Oryctolagus cuniculus: one gene and its partners. The protein of the gene in region 1 binds, or shares a complex with, the protein of each later gene. Links are inferred from orthologs where the notes say so. Each region holds a gene or a part of one and is shown on either strand. Other genes may lie near its edges.

The links.
Region 2: the proteins of SNTG1 (region 1) and RPS6KA1 are in contact, whole or in part, in a crystal structure (PDB 7PC8), measured with the Homo sapiens proteins. The link is inferred for Oryctolagus cuniculus from reciprocal best matches to the Homo sapiens genes SNTG1 and RPS6KA1. Residues at the interface, in NP_001274742.1 of Homo sapiens: Gly67, Phe68, Gly69, Leu70, Ser71, Ile72, Lys73, Gly74, His78, Ile80, Ser85, His118, Glu119, Val122, Leu125, Arg126, Arg141; in NP_002944.2 of Homo sapiens: Arg728, Lys729, Leu730, Pro731, Thr733, Thr734, Leu735.
Region 3: the proteins of SNTG1 (region 1) and PTEN are in contact, whole or in part, in a crystal structure (PDB 7PC7), measured with the Homo sapiens proteins. The link is inferred for Oryctolagus cuniculus from reciprocal best matches to the Homo sapiens genes SNTG1 and PTEN. Residues at the interface, in NP_001274742.1 of Homo sapiens: Gly67, Phe68, Gly69, Leu70, Ser71, Ile72, Lys73, Gly74, Glu77, His78, Ser85, Lys86, Ile87, Ser88, His118, Val122, Leu125, Arg126; in NP_000305.3 of Homo sapiens: Asp395, Gln396, His397, Thr398, Gln399, Ile400, Thr401, Lys402, Val403.
Region 4: the proteins of SNTG1 (region 1) and TRPV3 are in contact, whole or in part, in a crystal structure (PDB 7QQN), measured with the Homo sapiens proteins. The link is inferred for Oryctolagus cuniculus from reciprocal best matches to the Homo sapiens genes SNTG1 and TRPV3. Residues at the interface, in NP_001274742.1 of Homo sapiens: Arg62, Gly66, Gly67, Phe68, Gly69, Leu70, Ser71, Ile72, Lys73, Gly74, His78, Ser85, Lys86, His118, Glu119, Val122, Arg126; in NP_659505.1 of Homo sapiens: Pro786, Glu787, Thr788, Ser789, Val790.

Annotation. Positions count from the first base shown.
Region 1 is NC_091437.1:74,879,181-74,882,742, reverse strand, and holds part of SNTG1 (gamma-1-syntrophin), read right to left. Parts: intron 3,458-3,562; coding exon 3,355-3,457; intron 1-3,354. UniProt on the Homo sapiens protein: Adapter protein that binds to and probably organizes the subcellular localization of a variety of proteins. May link various receptors to the actin cytoskeleton and the dystrophin glycoprotein complex.
Region 2 is NC_091438.1:144,950,221-144,953,782, reverse strand, and holds part of RPS6KA1 (ribosomal protein S6 kinase alpha-1), read left to right. Parts: intron 1-1,756; coding exon 1,757-1,837; intron 1,838-1,971; coding exon 1,972-2,051; intron 2,052-3,350; coding exon 3,351-3,457; intron 3,458-3,562. UniProt on the Homo sapiens protein: Serine/threonine-protein kinase that acts downstream of ERK (MAPK1/ERK2 and MAPK3/ERK1) signaling and mediates mitogenic and stress-induced activation of the transcription factors CREB1, ETV1/ER81 and NR4A1/NUR77, regulates translation through RPS6 and EIF4B phosphorylation, and mediates cellular proliferation, survival, and differentiation by modulating mTOR signaling and repressing pro-apoptotic function of BAD and DAPK1.
Region 3 is NC_091446.1:42,814,299-42,818,480, reverse strand, and holds the start of PTEN (phosphatidylinositol 3,4,5-trisphosphate 3-phosphatase and dual-specificity protein phosphatase PTEN), read left to right. Parts: upstream 1-1,381; 5' UTR 1,382-1,382; coding exon of another isoform or gene 1,383-1,409; 5' UTR 1,410-1,926; coding exon 1,927-1,994; intron 1,995-2,453; exon of another isoform or gene 2,454-3,363; coding exon 3,364-3,458; intron 3,459-3,621; exon of another isoform or gene 3,622-4,182. UniProt on the Homo sapiens protein: Dual-specificity protein phosphatase, dephosphorylating tyrosine-, serine- and threonine-phosphorylated proteins.
Region 4 is NC_091448.1:48,868,377-48,871,938, reverse strand, and holds part of TRPV3 (transient receptor potential cation channel subfamily V member 3), read left to right. Parts: intron 1-1,370; coding exon 1,371-1,483; intron 1,484-3,137; coding exon 3,138-3,217; intron 3,218-3,456; coding exon 3,457-3,554; 3' UTR 3,555-3,562. UniProt on the Homo sapiens protein: Non-selective calcium permeant cation channel. It is activated by innocuous (warm) temperatures and shows an increased response at noxious temperatures greater than 39 degrees Celsius. Activation exhibits an outward rectification.

The DNA of each region.
Region 1 (3,562 bases):
TCTCTTAATTTTATTCAACATTTCACTAGAGGTCCTAGCTATTGTAACTGGCAAGAAAAGGGGGTTAAAGAAGGATAGACAGGAAAAAAAATTAAAATTTCCTATTTATTAATCACATAATTGTATGTGGAAAATGTGAATGATACACAAAAATGTCATACTAGAATTAGTGAAAAATAAGGCATGTTATAGCATGTTTAAATATGAAAAATAATATGTATACATATTTATTATTAATAGACAACTGGACAGATATTTTACAATGGAATTTAAAAACATAAAATATACAGAAATAATGTTAAAGTTACAGAAGTCATTACCATTGAAAACACTAAAATATTACTGAGGAAAATAAAAATATAAATAAATAGATAGGTATTGACAAAATATATAGTTTTTGATGAGTAATTCTCCATATTACCTATAAATCCAGTTTAATCCTATTCAAAATCCAAGTAAGATTTTTATATAAATTGGCATGCTAGTTTTAAAATGCACACAATTAAAAAAACCTAAACAAAATGTATACAATAATGCAGGATCTAGAATAGCCAAACAATATTGAAAAGTTGCAAAGTTGAAGTATGTATTCTAGGAAACATTAAAATCTTACAGTACTTAAAGATTTGGCATTGATGAAAAATAAATTCATAAACTAACAGAAATAAGAAAGTGTCCAGAAGTGGAGCCAAGTATGGATGATCAAATTATAATAGGAGAAAAATAAATAAATAAAATGAGTTAGTAGTAATAAAGCAAAATGTTCAATGTAAAATGTGCAAATGAACTCATCTGACATTTCTTAAAAGAAAACATACAAATTGCCAATAAGTAGATGAAAAAGATTCTCAACATAATAATAAGGGGAATGTAAACCAAAATCCTCAATGAGATATCAACTCATCTTCCTATAGAAGCTATTATAAAAACAGACACAAGTGTTACCAAGAAAGTAGAGAAAGGAGAATTCTTATATACTATTAATCCAAATATCATTTGGAAAAGACATTATGGAGAACAGTACTTAAAAACTAAAAATAGGTCTACATGATCCAGCAATCCCAATCCTGGATGTACTTCCAAAGAAATCAAATCATTATGCTAAAGAGATACCTTCACTCCCACGGTCATTATGGATGAAAGGATACAGAAATGTGGTATATACACACAATGGGATATTGTTCATCCATTAAAAGAATGAAATTCTGTGACTTATGGTATAGTCGGGAGATCAATATTCTAAGTGTAATAAACCAGATACATGAAGTCAAATACTGCACATTCTCATTCACACATTAATACTAAAAAGTTAATGTCATAGCAGTAGAGAGTAGAATATTGGTTATGATATTCTGGAAAGGAGAGAGAAGGGTTGGTTAATGGGTATAAAAATATAATTGAGATAATTATGTTTAGGTGAATATTAATTTATCATCTATCAGCATAGGTGCAAGAGGAGACTTTGAATGTTACCAACACTATGAAAGGATAACAGCATGAGGTGATTGAAATGTTAATTACACTAATTTTATCATTTCACCTTGTATAAATGTACTGAATCTTCACACTGTAGCTCATGACTATTTATAATTATTATGTGTTAATAAAATAATTATTAGAGGTAGACATTCAGCCTGGTGGCTAAGCGACGTTCACACCAGTGTAACTAGGTTTGCGACTCAACTCCAGATCCTGACTCTAGCTTCCTGACAATGCAGAGCTGGGGGGAAGTGGTGATGGCTTAAGTGACTGATTCTTGCCCCCCATTTGGGAGACCTGGATTGAGTTCCTGGCTCCCTGTTTTAGTCCCCGGCTCAGCACTTGAGAGTATTTGACAAGTGAGCCAGTTGATGGGATCTCTCTTTGTGTCTGTCTCTTTTTCTGTCTCTCTGCCTCTCAAATAAGTAAGTAAAAATTTAATAATATTTTTAAGATTAATGAAATAAGAAGATAGCCTCTTATATAATACAAAAGGGATGGAAATTACGCCAAGGGGAGTAAGTTAGTCATAAAAAGACAAATACTGCATTATTCTACTTTTATGAAACATCATAAGTAGTCAAACTCTTGTAAACAGCCAATGGATGGAGTTTGCCTAGAGTATGAGAAGTGGAAATGGGGGAGTTTTTGGGTAAGGGGTGTCGAGCTTCAGTTTGTGCAGATGGAAGGGTTCTGGTGCAGGTGGTTCATGTTATTGTACAACACAGTCAAAAATTATTCTTACAGGAAATCTTACATTATGTGTTATTCACCACAATAAAAAAAAAACTCCATTTTAGCAATACATTCAGCAATGTATTAGCAACTGAATTATACGTCTATCTTGTCACTCCACTATTTAAGATAGTGAAATAAAATTATAAATAAAATTATAAACCTGCTGAAAGCCTCGTTTATTGCAGCTTTATTGACAAAGGCAAACTACTGGGGAGAGCTGTGGTGTCTACAAAGGAGCATGCATTAATAAATTTTACAAATTTCATACAACGACATGCTACATAGTCATAGAAGTGAGCAAATTGTTGATGTATATGATGAACCTATATCTGAAAAAGTTATTACTAATGAAATAAGGCAGAGATTTAAAAAGATAGGTACAGTATGATTCTATCAAACAGGGTTCTACAAGAGGTAATGCAGTAGACAATAGTTGCTTCAGCACTGTTATTTACTTAGAAGAGGCACAGAGAAACTCTTCTATGACGGAGAGACATGGGTTAAGCAAATGTGCACTTTAGCAGAACTATTCAATTCGTGCATCATCACATTTTATTGCCTATATTTTATGAATAATGAAACATTCTTCTTTTGGTTAGCTAAAATAGTAGATAATATGTTTCATTTCAGAACAAAAGAAGCAGGAAACAAAACAGATAGTGAACTTTTAAAGTAAGTCTTTTGTGAATTATTTGTTTCCACAAAGATCAATACTTCCTTCAATCTTCCTACTCTAGTCAGGACAACCTTTGTGTAAACTCTTGTTTAGCAAGCCTAGTAATTAGATCAATGTGGATTATTTTTCTAGTTACAGAAAATATATTCACAAAATACTTAAATTGAAATTTAACAGATATATAATGCAATCATACTTTTTTATATGATGCCCATTTTTAAAACAAATTACCTCTCCAGTTACAGAATGGAAGAAAATGTGATGAAAACACTCGGAAAGGAAAATAAGATTGATGCTTTTTGCATAAGGATTAAGAGTATTCTCTATGATATAAGAATATGTATATATTGAGGTAGGAATCCCAGCTTTAAAGAAAAATGGTCAATTATGACCAGAAAATAATGGCTTGGAAAGTAAATATGATGATGTGAATGCTGCACCCATTATTCAGAAATACTCACATGCACAATCTTCATTCAATGGGAGTTTGAGGAAAGCAGGTGCTCTTTTTAAAAATGACACTGTTAGGGTCACTTCTTCTCCCGCATTCCGCAGAACCTGAACCTAAAAATGAAAAATAAAACATTATCATTATGTTTATAAGTTTTCTTCACAGTTGCAAAACCTTGAAATAATAGATTGTCTTTTCCATCTTTCCTTTGTTTCTTA
Region 2 (3,562 bases), on another chromosome or scaffold:
AGCAGATGAGAGTGCAGTCCCTCTCTCTCTCTGTCTCTCACTCTCTCACTCTCTCATGCTCTCTCTTTCTCTCTCTTAACTAATGCAAATGAACAAAAGCCAGTGCTTTGAAGAGGAAGTCCAGCACTCTTAGTCTGAAGTTAGCCTGAAGTGACATTAGTCCTGGTCAGAAGTAGCTGGAAGGCCCTCGTCCAGCTTGGGAGGCTAAGGGGGAGGTGAGACCTGACTGAGGGCAGGAAGACCAGCTGATGTCTGAATCAAGATATTTTTGGTAAAGGTTTATTTATTTGAAAGTTACAGAGAGAGGTAAAGACACACACACACACACACACACACACACACACAGGTCTTCCGTCCACTAGTTCACTCCCCAAATGCCTGCAATGGCCAGAGCTGAGCCAATCTGAAGCCAGGAGCTAGGAGCTTCATCCAGGTCTCCCACATGGGTGCAAGGGCCCAAGGGTTTGGGCCATCTTCTGCTGCTTTCCCAGGCCATAGCAGAGAGCTGGATTGGAAGTGAAGCAGCCGGGACTTGAACCGGCTCCCATATGAGATGCCAGTGCTGCAGGCTGGGGCTTTAACCTGCTGCACCACAGTGCCGGCCCCAATATTTAAATATTTTTTTTTTTTTTTTTTAAATTTGAAAGGCAGAGTTACAGGGAGAGAAGGAGAGAGGGAGATCTTCTATCTGCTGGTTCACTTCCCAAATGGCCGCAACGGCCCAGGGCTGGGCCTGGCTGAAGCCAGAGCCAGGAGCTTCTTCTGGGTCCCCATGTGGGTGCAAGGACCCAAGGACTTGGGCCATCTCCATCTTCTGCTGCTTTCCCAGGTGCATTAGCAGGGAGCTGGATCAGAAGTGGAACAAATGGGACTTGAACCAGCGGCACTCAGGGATGCCAGTGTCACAGGCGGTGGCTTCACCCTCTACGCCACAGCGCCAGCCCTGCAACTTCTATTCTTTAAAAAAATAAGAAAGGGGCTGGCGCTGCGGCGTAGCGGGTGAAGCCTCCACCTATGATGCTGGCATCCCATTTGGGCACCAGTTCGAGTCCCGGCTACTCCACTTCTGATCCAACTCCCTGCTAATGGCCTGGGAAAGCAGTAAAGGTGGTTCAAGTGCCTGGGACCCTGCACCCACATGAGAGACTCCGAAGAAGCTCCTGGCTTCAGATGGGCCCGAGCTCTGGCCATTGCAGCCATTTGGGGAGCGAACCTGTGGGTAGAAGACCCCTCCCTCTCTCTCTTTCTCTCTGCCTCTGCTTTTCAAATAAATAAATAAATATTTTAAAAAATAATAAAATAAAAAAATATGTGGGGAAGCCCACCCAGACCTGTGGCTCAGAGTCTTGGGCCCAGGGAATCTGTCTCCCTAGTCAGCTTCCCGGGTGAGCATCCGCGCCAGCCGCTTCTAGAATCTGGGCTTTGTCTGCTAGAGGACAGGGGCTGGTCGAGGTGCCAGGGAAGATGTGGGGCTCTGACAGCGTGGTGCAGAGGGACACGGGTTGTTCAGCCTGGCCGGAGGCGTGCTGGAGCGCAGGGCTAGACAGATGGGCACTGCCGAGGGCTGGGGGCTGAGAGCAGGCCTGGAAGCCGGGACCAGACCCGGAACGGAGGAGGCAGTGTGAAGTCAGCGTCCCCAAAGCCTGGGGCACAGAGCCCCAGGAGCTCGGGTCTAGTGAGAGCCCTCGGGTGGCCCTGGGGAGTGAGTGGGTGTGCCGTGTGTCCGGCACCGGGTGACTGCCTCTCCTCTGGCCAGTGCGCGACCGCGTCCGGACCAAGATGGAGAGGGACATCCTGGCCGACGTGAACCACCCCTTTGTGGTGAAGCTGCACTATGGTGAGACTGCAGCCCTTCCCCGAACTCCCGCACCAGCCCGCGCTCACCCTGGCCGGTGGTCTACACTGTCCAAGCTCCCACCTGCAGGCTGAGGGGCAGGTCACACGGCCGGTGACTCTTGCCCCTCTCCCCAGCCTTCCAGACAGAGGGCAAGCTCTATCTCATTCTGGACTTCCTGCGCGGTGGGGACCTCTTCACACGGCTCTCAAAAGAGGTGAGCAGATAACCCACTGACGGACCACAAGGCCTCCCACTCCTGGGTCCCGTACGGCCTGGGTGTGGAGCCACCTAGGCCTCCCCAGGTGAACCTGATCCAGGCCTTGTCCGGCCTGGCAGCGCCTCCGAGAGTTCCTCCCCAGTGGATGGAGGAGGGCTAGGCCCTGGGTCTGATGTTCACCGACTGGGGGGAGCTCAGGGTGCCTCTCCCCTGTGTGTCTTTCTTCTTCCAGGCTGCCCTGGGCAGAGCTGGGAGCAGCCAGGAGAAGCCCAGATGTGGCCGGCGCCGCGGCTCACTAGGCTAATCCTCCGCCTAGCGGCGCCGGCACACGGGATTCTAGTCCCGGTTGGGGCGCCGGATTCTGTCCTGGTTGCCCCTCTTCCAGGCCAGCTCTCTGCTGTGGCCCGGGAGTGCAGTGGAGGATGGCCCAGGTGCTTGGGCCCTGCACCCCATGGGAGACCAGGAAAAGCACCTGGCTCCTGGCTCCTGCCATCGGATCAGCGTGGTGCGCCGGCCGCAGCGCGCCGGCCGCGGCGGCCATTGGAGGGTGAACCAACGGCAAAGGAAGACCTTTCTCTCTGTCTCTCTCTCTCTCTAACTGTCCACTCTGCCTGTCAAAAAAAAAAAAAAAAAAAGAAGCCCAGATGCACCGAGAAAGCGGGAGACTCGCACACTCTTGTCCCACCTGTTAGCCAAAAGATTTTGAACTGATATAAAAGGATTTTGAGCCAGATACGAAAAATACGGTCATTAACACAATTCCAACTTTAAAGAGAACCAAGCTTTAAAACAAGGGTGGGGGGGGGGGGGTTGGTTTAAACCTTATTGCGGTGTTTGCATAGGTAAAACATTTACATGATTCAAAAGAAAAATATTTATGGGGAAGGCTTCCTCCTACCCCAGTGCCCTGTATCCCCTATCAGTAAACATTTTTATTGGTTTCTTGTTGAACCTTCCCATGTTTCTTCTGCAAACAAATCCCAGGTGTGTTCTGAATCGCCGCCGCTCTGGATACCATGCCCCCTGCCTCGCTGCGTTCCTTCCAGGCTGTGGGAAGCTCCTGTCCTAGTTCATAGCTGTGCACCAGTCCTTCTGCAGGGGCCAACAACACAGTTCCTCCCAGGCTTCGGCCCTGGGACCCCTGGGCTGTTTCCCGACAAAGACCACCACCCTGGGCAGCCATCATTTCATACTTCAAACCCCGTGATGATACGGAGGGCCGAGGAGGCTAGACCCTAGGGACAAGGAAGCTGCTGCCTGCCCAGGGCCCACTGAAGCCCCTCGCGCCTCTTGCAGGTCATGTTCACAGAGGAGGACGTGAAGTTTTACCTGGCCGAGCTGGCGTTGGGTCTGGACCACCTGCATAGCCTGGGCATCATTTACAGAGACCTCAAGCCTGAGAAGTGAGTGACCCCCCAGCCCCACCCTGGCCTCCCTCGGGGGTGCACAGACAAGGGCTGGGGCCTCTTCTAGAACAGGGTCACCTCCATGGGGGGGGGGGGGTGGCT
Region 3 (4,182 bases), on another chromosome or scaffold:
CGAGGCTTCAGCGGGTTGCTAACTCCTGCAGTGCTATCTTAAAAGGATGTTGTATATAAATGCAGTTTTATGTAGCCTCAGAGGTCCCTAAATATCCCCGGTTTAATTAGCAGTCCTGGAGTTAGGTAATGGCCTGTGGCTCTCTGAGCTGGGCCTCCTGAGGTTTCTAGTCTTCAGGGGCTGCCTGTAATGATGATGTGCACATTTACAATCTTCCTCACAAGAAAACTCGGCTTTAGACCTTTCTAGGTATCTACTCACCATTTATCACAACACATGTGCCAACTGATTCCCATTTTCTCAGATGTCAAAAAAAAAAAAAAAAAAAAAAAAAGAAAAAAAGAGAAAAAGAAAAAAACAACCTAGGGCTTCAGCCTGGTCTAAGTCAGATACTTCTGAACTCAAATTTTCCCCTGGAATTCTACTTTCCTGGAGCGGGGCGCCGGGTGGGGTGGGAGGAGAGTGGGGGGAAATGAAAGAGAGAAAAAAAAATTCGTAGGTTGGTGTTGGTTGACGCCCCTTCTCATTTTGAAGCTGACTGATGTGCGTATTTTGGGGAGGGGGTTGAGGAGGCGCTCTAGGTCTAAGCATTTGTGAACCAGCTCACTCACTGGATAGGTCAACCACGGGGCTGCAGAAAGACTTGACAGGTTTGTTCTGGGCATACGGCCAAGGACTAGACCAGATAAGGCACTTGGCTGAGTCTACAGTAGGTGGGGCGTGCTCACCAGTGCAGGGGTAGCGACTCAAAAGTTTGTTGCAACACCTGCAATCCAAGCAGCAGGCGCAGCGGGAACGAGCCTTTGGCCCCGACAGCACGGAACCAGAGGGTTCACCCCAACCAACGAGGGAGATGCGCCAGATCCCTCGGGCCCGGCCCCTTTTCCCACGGTTGAGAACAAGCAGTGCTTGTCAATCCACAGCAGAGAGAGCTCACTCCGTGGGTAGCAGAAGGGTGAGAGCAGCGGTGCACGGGAGCGGGGGCACGTGCTTGGATGGGGGTGCCTGCCCAGCAGCTAGCCCAGACAGCGATCCTGTGGAGGCTCCACTGGCCATCCCCAACCCCGTCCCTCTGCAGCCTGGGAGGGTGTGGGGGTGCTGCCCGCGCCAGGCGGGAGCACCCCGAGCGTAGCTGGCGAAGCACTTGCCTCCGGAGCTACGCTTGGAGGAGTGGGAATTTGGAAAGTTCCCCAACTCGGAGCACACGTGACCCCTTCCTGAAAGTAGTTCCGACGGTGGCTCGGGTATCCTTCCACCCCCTTTTGAACCCTCCTAGGGCTCCTCGCCCCGCCCACTCGCGGGGCTGCCGCTTCCTACCGTCCTGAACGCCGCGCCCGGGCCGGCAACCTGGGCCTCCAGCGTGCACCGGCCGGCCCGGCGAGCGCGGAAGCTGGCCGCGGGCGATTCATCGTGCCAGGTTTTCTCAGCGGCCCGGAGAGTGGGCGGGGCGAGGCAGCCTCTGAGGACCGAGCTCGAGTTCGACGCCGCGAACGGACCCGGAGCCTGAGGGGACAGATGCTCAGCTCTCCGGGGGCCGCGGAGGGAGCTGTGGGGGTGCGTCCCGCTCACGGGGATCCTCTTTAAGGCGGCCTAGGCAGGAGGCCCTCGGGCCCTGGGAATTCGGGGCGGGGGGCGACGTGTGCACTCTAGCGCGCCCGGCTGAGAGCTTTCGCTTTTCGGGCAAATGAACCGAGTAGCTGGGGCAGCGAGAGGTGGGGCGGTGACTGGAGCCGGATGAGGCGAGACGCGCCGCCGGAGACACAATAGGGGGTCGTTCTTTGTGCTGAGGCTGACACCTTGAGGACCCGGGGGCGGCGGCGGCGGCGGCGGCGCGGGCGCTCTAGGCAGAGGCTGCGACAGTGAGATCCCTGCGAACCGCCGCGATCGTCCACAGCGGGACAAACGGAGTGCGTGCGTTCGCACGCCATGGCGGGGGAGGGGTGTCCTCGCGGCATTTCCCTAGATACTGACCCGCGCGGTCCACCTGTGCACAGGTAACCTCACACTGCAGTCGGCGACACCGCTCAACGCACCAGTCTCAGTTTTCATCATCCACCTTCCTCCGCCCCCACGCCGCCCCGCCGCAGTCTGCCCTGGCTCCGGCCGGGTGTCCGGGCAGAGGCCGAGGCTGAGCTCGTTCCCCCGCCCCGAGCTGCTGCAGGAGCAGCCGCGGCAAGTGCAGCTACGGGCGGGCGCCTCGGAACAAGCCCGAGCGAGCCCCAGGCAGTCACACTGGGCATGCTCAATAGCACCAGCAGGTTGGGGGCCCTGCGCTCGCACCTGGAGCTGCCGCCCCCGCCCCCCACCCCACCCCGGCGCGGCCCAGCCCTCCCCTCCCCCGGCGCGGTCCCGTCCGCCTCCAGCTCGCCCCCCGCCTCCCCTCGGGCTCCCGAGGCGGCCCGGCTCCCGGCGCGGCGGCGGCGGCGGAGGGGGCGGGCAGGCCGGCGACGGTGATGTGGCGGGACTCTTTGTGCACTGCGGCAGGATACGCGCCCGGGCGCTGGGACGCGGCTGCGCTCAGTTCTCTCCTCTCGGAAGCTGCAGCCATGATGGAAGTTTGAGAGTTGAGCCGCTGTGAGGCTAGGCCCGGCTCAGGCGAGGGAGATGAGAGACGGCGGCGGCCGCGGCCCAGAGCCCCTCTCAGCGCCTGTGAGCAGCCGCGGGGGCAGCGCCCTCCGGGAGCCGGCCGGCCTGCGGCGGCGGCAGCGGCGGCGTTTCTCGCCTCCTCTTCGTCTTCTCTTCTAACCGTGCAGCCTCTTCCTCGGCTTTTCTTGCGAGGGAAGGTGGAAGCCGTGGGCTCAGGCGGGAGCCGGCTGAGGCGCGGCGGCGGCGGCGGCGGCGGCGGCACCTCCCGCTCCTGGAGCGGGGGGGAGAAGCGGCGGCGGCGGCGGCGGCCGCGGCGGCTGCAGCTCCCGGGAGGGGTTCGGAGCCGCCTGTCACCATTTCCAGGGCTGGGAACGCCGGAGAGTTGGTCTCTCCCCTTCTACTGCCTCCAACACGGCGGCGGCGGCGGCGGCACATCCAGGGACCCGGGCCGGTTTTAAACCTTCCCTCCGCCGCCGCCGCACTCTCCCTGGCCCGGGCTCCGGAGGCCGCCGGAGGAGGCAGCCGTTCCGAGGATTATTCGTCTTCTCCCCATTCCGCTGCCGCCGCTGCCAGGCCTCTGGCTGCTGAGGAGAAGCAGGCCCAGTCGCTGCAACCATCCAGCAGCCGCCGCAGCAGCCATTACCCGGCTGCGGTCCAGAGCCAAGCGGCAGCAGAGCGAGGGGCATCAGCTACCGCCAAGTCCAGAGCCATTTCCATTCTACAGAAGAAGCCCCGCCACCAGCAGCTTCTGCCATCTCTCTCCTCCTTTTTCTTCAGCCACAGGCTCCCAGACATGACAGCCATCATCAAAGAGATCGTTAGCAGAAACAAAAGGAGATATCAAGAGGATGGATTCGACTTAGACTTGACCTGTATCCATTTCTGCAGCGGCAGCTCTCTGCCTTTCTGTCACTCGCATAACGTGGGAGTAGACGAGTGCGAAAATGTTCCGTAGTTTGGGGTAGCTGTAGCGTTGAGCCCTGGTCAGATTTCCAGAGCATGGATTTTTGTGTCTCTTTTCGGGTGTATTCCGCCCAGGGTGTGTTCAGCTAGACGGAACTCGTGCCTGGTTGCAAGTGTCAAGGCACTGATTGGTTTCGTAGTGCATGTATGTGGTCTCTTCCTAAGGGCCATTGTCCGTTAATGCCGAATACTGTACACTGTTGATGGATTAGTGGGCTCGATAATCCGGTCTTGTAGGTGAACGAAAAAGTAGACGCTTGGAGATTGAGCATATTTCGATTCAATCTTGTTAGGCCCTAGATCAAGGGTATAGATCAGATTAAAATGAAAATTAGTGTTCCGCGTCCGCATATTGCATCAGAATCGCGCAGTGATTTGTTTTTAGTTTCTAGGGTTGCATTGGTAGATTCTTTTAAAAATGTGAATTGTGGACTGATTGGTGTAAGTTTAGAAGCAAAACCATTTTCAGTATATGTGGTGTGTGTGGGGAGGGCAAAAGTAGGTTTGTATGTGTAAATGAAGTTAATTACAGCTTGCAACTGCACTTAGAAGTTTTGTAGTTTGAAATCAGTAGTGCCACAGTGCACCTTATAAGGTTCGATTCACTAAATCTTTGTTCAGTTAGCCGTTTTC
Region 4 (3,562 bases), on another chromosome or scaffold:
TTCTACTCCTCACACACCAGGGATGCCAACCCACAGGATGGGGCCAGAGGCAGTGACCAGATTTGAGTGGACTGGCTACTGCCTTGGAGGTTGCTGGAAACTGGGGTGGGAGAAGGTGAGAGTTTCTGTAAATGTTTACTGAGCTGCCTGTGAGAGAGGGAATATCTCTCCTCAGGGGCCCCAGAAGGCAGAACCAAGGTACACGGCAGAACCAAGATACACAGCAGAACTGCAGGGAGAGAAACTTTTTTTAAAAAAATATTTTTTTGAAAGGCAGGGGTATACAGACAGACAGACAGACACACACACACACACACACAGAATCTTCTGTCCACTGGTTCATTCCCCAAATGGCCACAACAGCCGGAGCTGGCCCAGGCCAAAGCCAGAAGCCTGGAACTCCCTCCAGGTCTCCCATGTGGCTGGCAGGGGCACAAACACCTGGGCTAGCTGCTGCTGCTTCCCCAGGTGCATTCGCAGGAAGCTGGATCAGAAGTGGAGCAGCCTGGATTTGAACCAGTGCTCATATGGGATGCTGGGGTTGCAGGTGGCAGCTTAACCCACTGAGCCACGACACTGGCCCTGAGAAAAGTTTTGATTGACACAAAAAAAGTGTCTACTTATGGGCCGGCGCCGTGGCTCAATAGGCTAATCCTCTGCCTGCAGTGCCAGCACACCGGGTTCTAGTCCCGGTTGGGGCGCCGGATTCTGTCCTGGTTGCCCCTCTTCCAGTCCAACTCTCTGCTGTGGCCTGGGAGTGCAGTGGAGGATGGCCCAAGTGCTTGGGCCCTGCACCCGCATGGGAGACCAGGAGAAGCACCTGGCTCCTGGCTTCGGATCAGTGCAGTGTGCTGGCCGCAGCGGCCATTGTGGGGTGAACCAATGGAAAAAAGAAAGACCTTTCTCTCTGTCTCTCTCTCACTGTCCACTCTGCCTGTCAAAAAAAAAAAAAAAAGTGTCTACTTATGAAGACAGCTAAATTAGATTGTGGATAATGCTCGGGAGAGATTGGATAAGTTTTTCCCAGGAAGATTGCCAGTGGCTTCCCAGACTGGGAGGGCAGTGGGACTCCATCATGTCTCAGCTTTCCTCTGTGTTGGGATTCCAGGATGTGGACGTCTTCAGTTAGGAGAGGCCTGAACTTCCAGAGATATCACATGGTGCTCCAAGCTCTTTGATTGTCTTTCCCAAGTGTTCTGCTTTTTCATCTTTGCATCCTTGGGATTAGTGGAGTCCTCAGGATCTAGGCACTGAGCATGTAGCGGGGATGCCGTGTGTGTGTACCTGTTTGCATGTGCATGCAGCAGCCATGGAGCTGCGCTCCCGGGGCTGGCTCCGAGCAACCTGCTGAGGCTTGCTTATGTCCCCAGAGAGCCAGGACGATCTTGGAGTTTGAGAAGATGTTGCCGGAATGGCTGAGAAGCAGATTCCGCATGGGGGAGCTGTGTAAAGTGGCCGAGGAAGACTTCCGACTGTGTTTGCGGTAACTGAGGGAGAGGGCCCTTCCGTGGGGGCTTTTTGGGGGTGGATGGAGGTGGATGAACCAGTGTGACCAAAATATCAGGGAAATGGTGCTGCCCCTCGATTGCTGTAACCAAGGCCGTTGTCTCTTGGGCCTTCTCAGAGGACGGACTCAACTCTTGTGGCATCGTGAGCTCAGGGTGAGCTTCAGAAAGAGGGAGGGGACTGCCCGCTCTGCTTTCACCCCCTGTCCCTTTGAAGGTGCCTTAACAGCCTCTCCCTGGCCAGGGTTGGGCTTAGAAAAGATTTACCAGCCTGACCTTTGTTCTTTTGTCCACCCTCCATGGGTTCATGTGACAGCAGAGGGAATGGGGCACTACTTTAGTATTGGCAAGTAGAAGTGAGATAGTCACTTTTCTTTTTTAAAGATTTATTTTCTTTATTTCAAAGGCAGAGTGATGGTGGGGGAGGGGGAGAAGAGAGGGAGGGAGGGAGAGAGAGGTCTTCCATCTACTTTTTCACTCCCCAGATGGCCTCAATGGCTGGGGCTGGGCCAGGATGAAGCGAGGAGCCCAGGACATCTTCTATGGACAAATCCACACTTTTTGGATTTTTGTAAAGTCCCCCCAAATCCCATGATGAGCCCACCTTTTCTGATAAGTCTGTCTGTTCTCACCCTTTCCTAACTGCCTGACCCTACAGACTTCCATTTTTGCATATAACTGTACTTCCTTAAATTACTTCTCTGAGGCCAGCATGCTGGCATTGTGGCAGGTTAGACTGCCCCTTGGAATGCTGGCATCCAACATGGGATGCAGTTTTAAGCCCTGGCTGCTCCATTTCTAATCCAGCTCCTTGTTAATGTGCCTGGGAGGGAAGTGGAAGATGGCCCAAGTGCTTGGGCCCCTGCAACCATGTGGGAGACCAGGATAGAGTTCCTGGCTCCTGGCTTCAGTCTGGCCCTGACCTGGTTGTTACAACCATTTCCAAATGGATCAGTGGATAGAAGATCTTTCTCTCCTTCTGCCTCACCCTGTTGTTTTGCCTTTCAAATAAATAAATAAATGAAACTTAAGCAATAAATTACTTCTCTAATTGAAGTTCTCCCTCTTGGAAGCCACCGTTGCTGACCATCATCTTTGCATTAACAGATATTTCTGATTTTGAGGGAACATCACTCCAGAGATGTTCTCTGAATGTGAGCTGAGGTCAGACCCACTCCAGCTGTCACTCAACACCTCAGGCACTGCCCACTCCCATTACGACATGAACCCTAACCACCTTCTCTTAAAGTGTCTCTAACCCTAGCTAAACTTCCACACTTTCAACCCTCACACTTTCTTAGCTTTCCCTCCCTCCAGGCCGACACCCTCTCACCAATCAGGCACAGCTGTGATGTCGGAAGATGCACCCTTTGTCTTAGCACCTTATAGGATTCTTGGGTCCTGCACCCTGGTAGGAGAATGGATCCTTGAGGCCTGGGAAAATGGGGCTCCAGGCAGGTTTCAAACACTAACAGCGCTGCTGTGTCCATGGGGAGCATGCAGGGGTCCTGGTCCCCAGGATGGACAGAAAGAGAGCTGTTTAGAGATGAGGATATTCCAAATGCTCCTCCACTTGTTTGTGTTTGATGAGATGTGGTTGCCACATAGCAAAAATAATGGTTATACTTGCAGGATCAATGAGGTGAAGTGGACCGAATGGAAAACACACGTCTCCTTCCTGAAAGAAGACCCGGGACCCATAAAACGGACAGGTAACTGTTGCTGCAAGGCACTGTGGGATCTGGTCCTGTCTGACTGTGTGACCTTGGGGCCAATCAAGTTTGAGGACCACGACTTTTCTCCATCTGTGAAACAAGGGTCTCTTCCAGCTTGGATGCTTTATAACTTCAGTTGGAACAACTTCTAAAAAAGCAGGTGTTGCCCCCAAGACATCAGACATGGCACACAGAATGATATGTTTCTAAAAACAGTTTTATTATTATTTTTAAAGCAGACTTAAACAAGATTCAAGATTCGTCCAGGAGCAACAGCAAAACCACCCTCAATGCATTTGAAGAAATGGAAGAATTCCCGGAAACTTCAGTGTAGATGCAAAC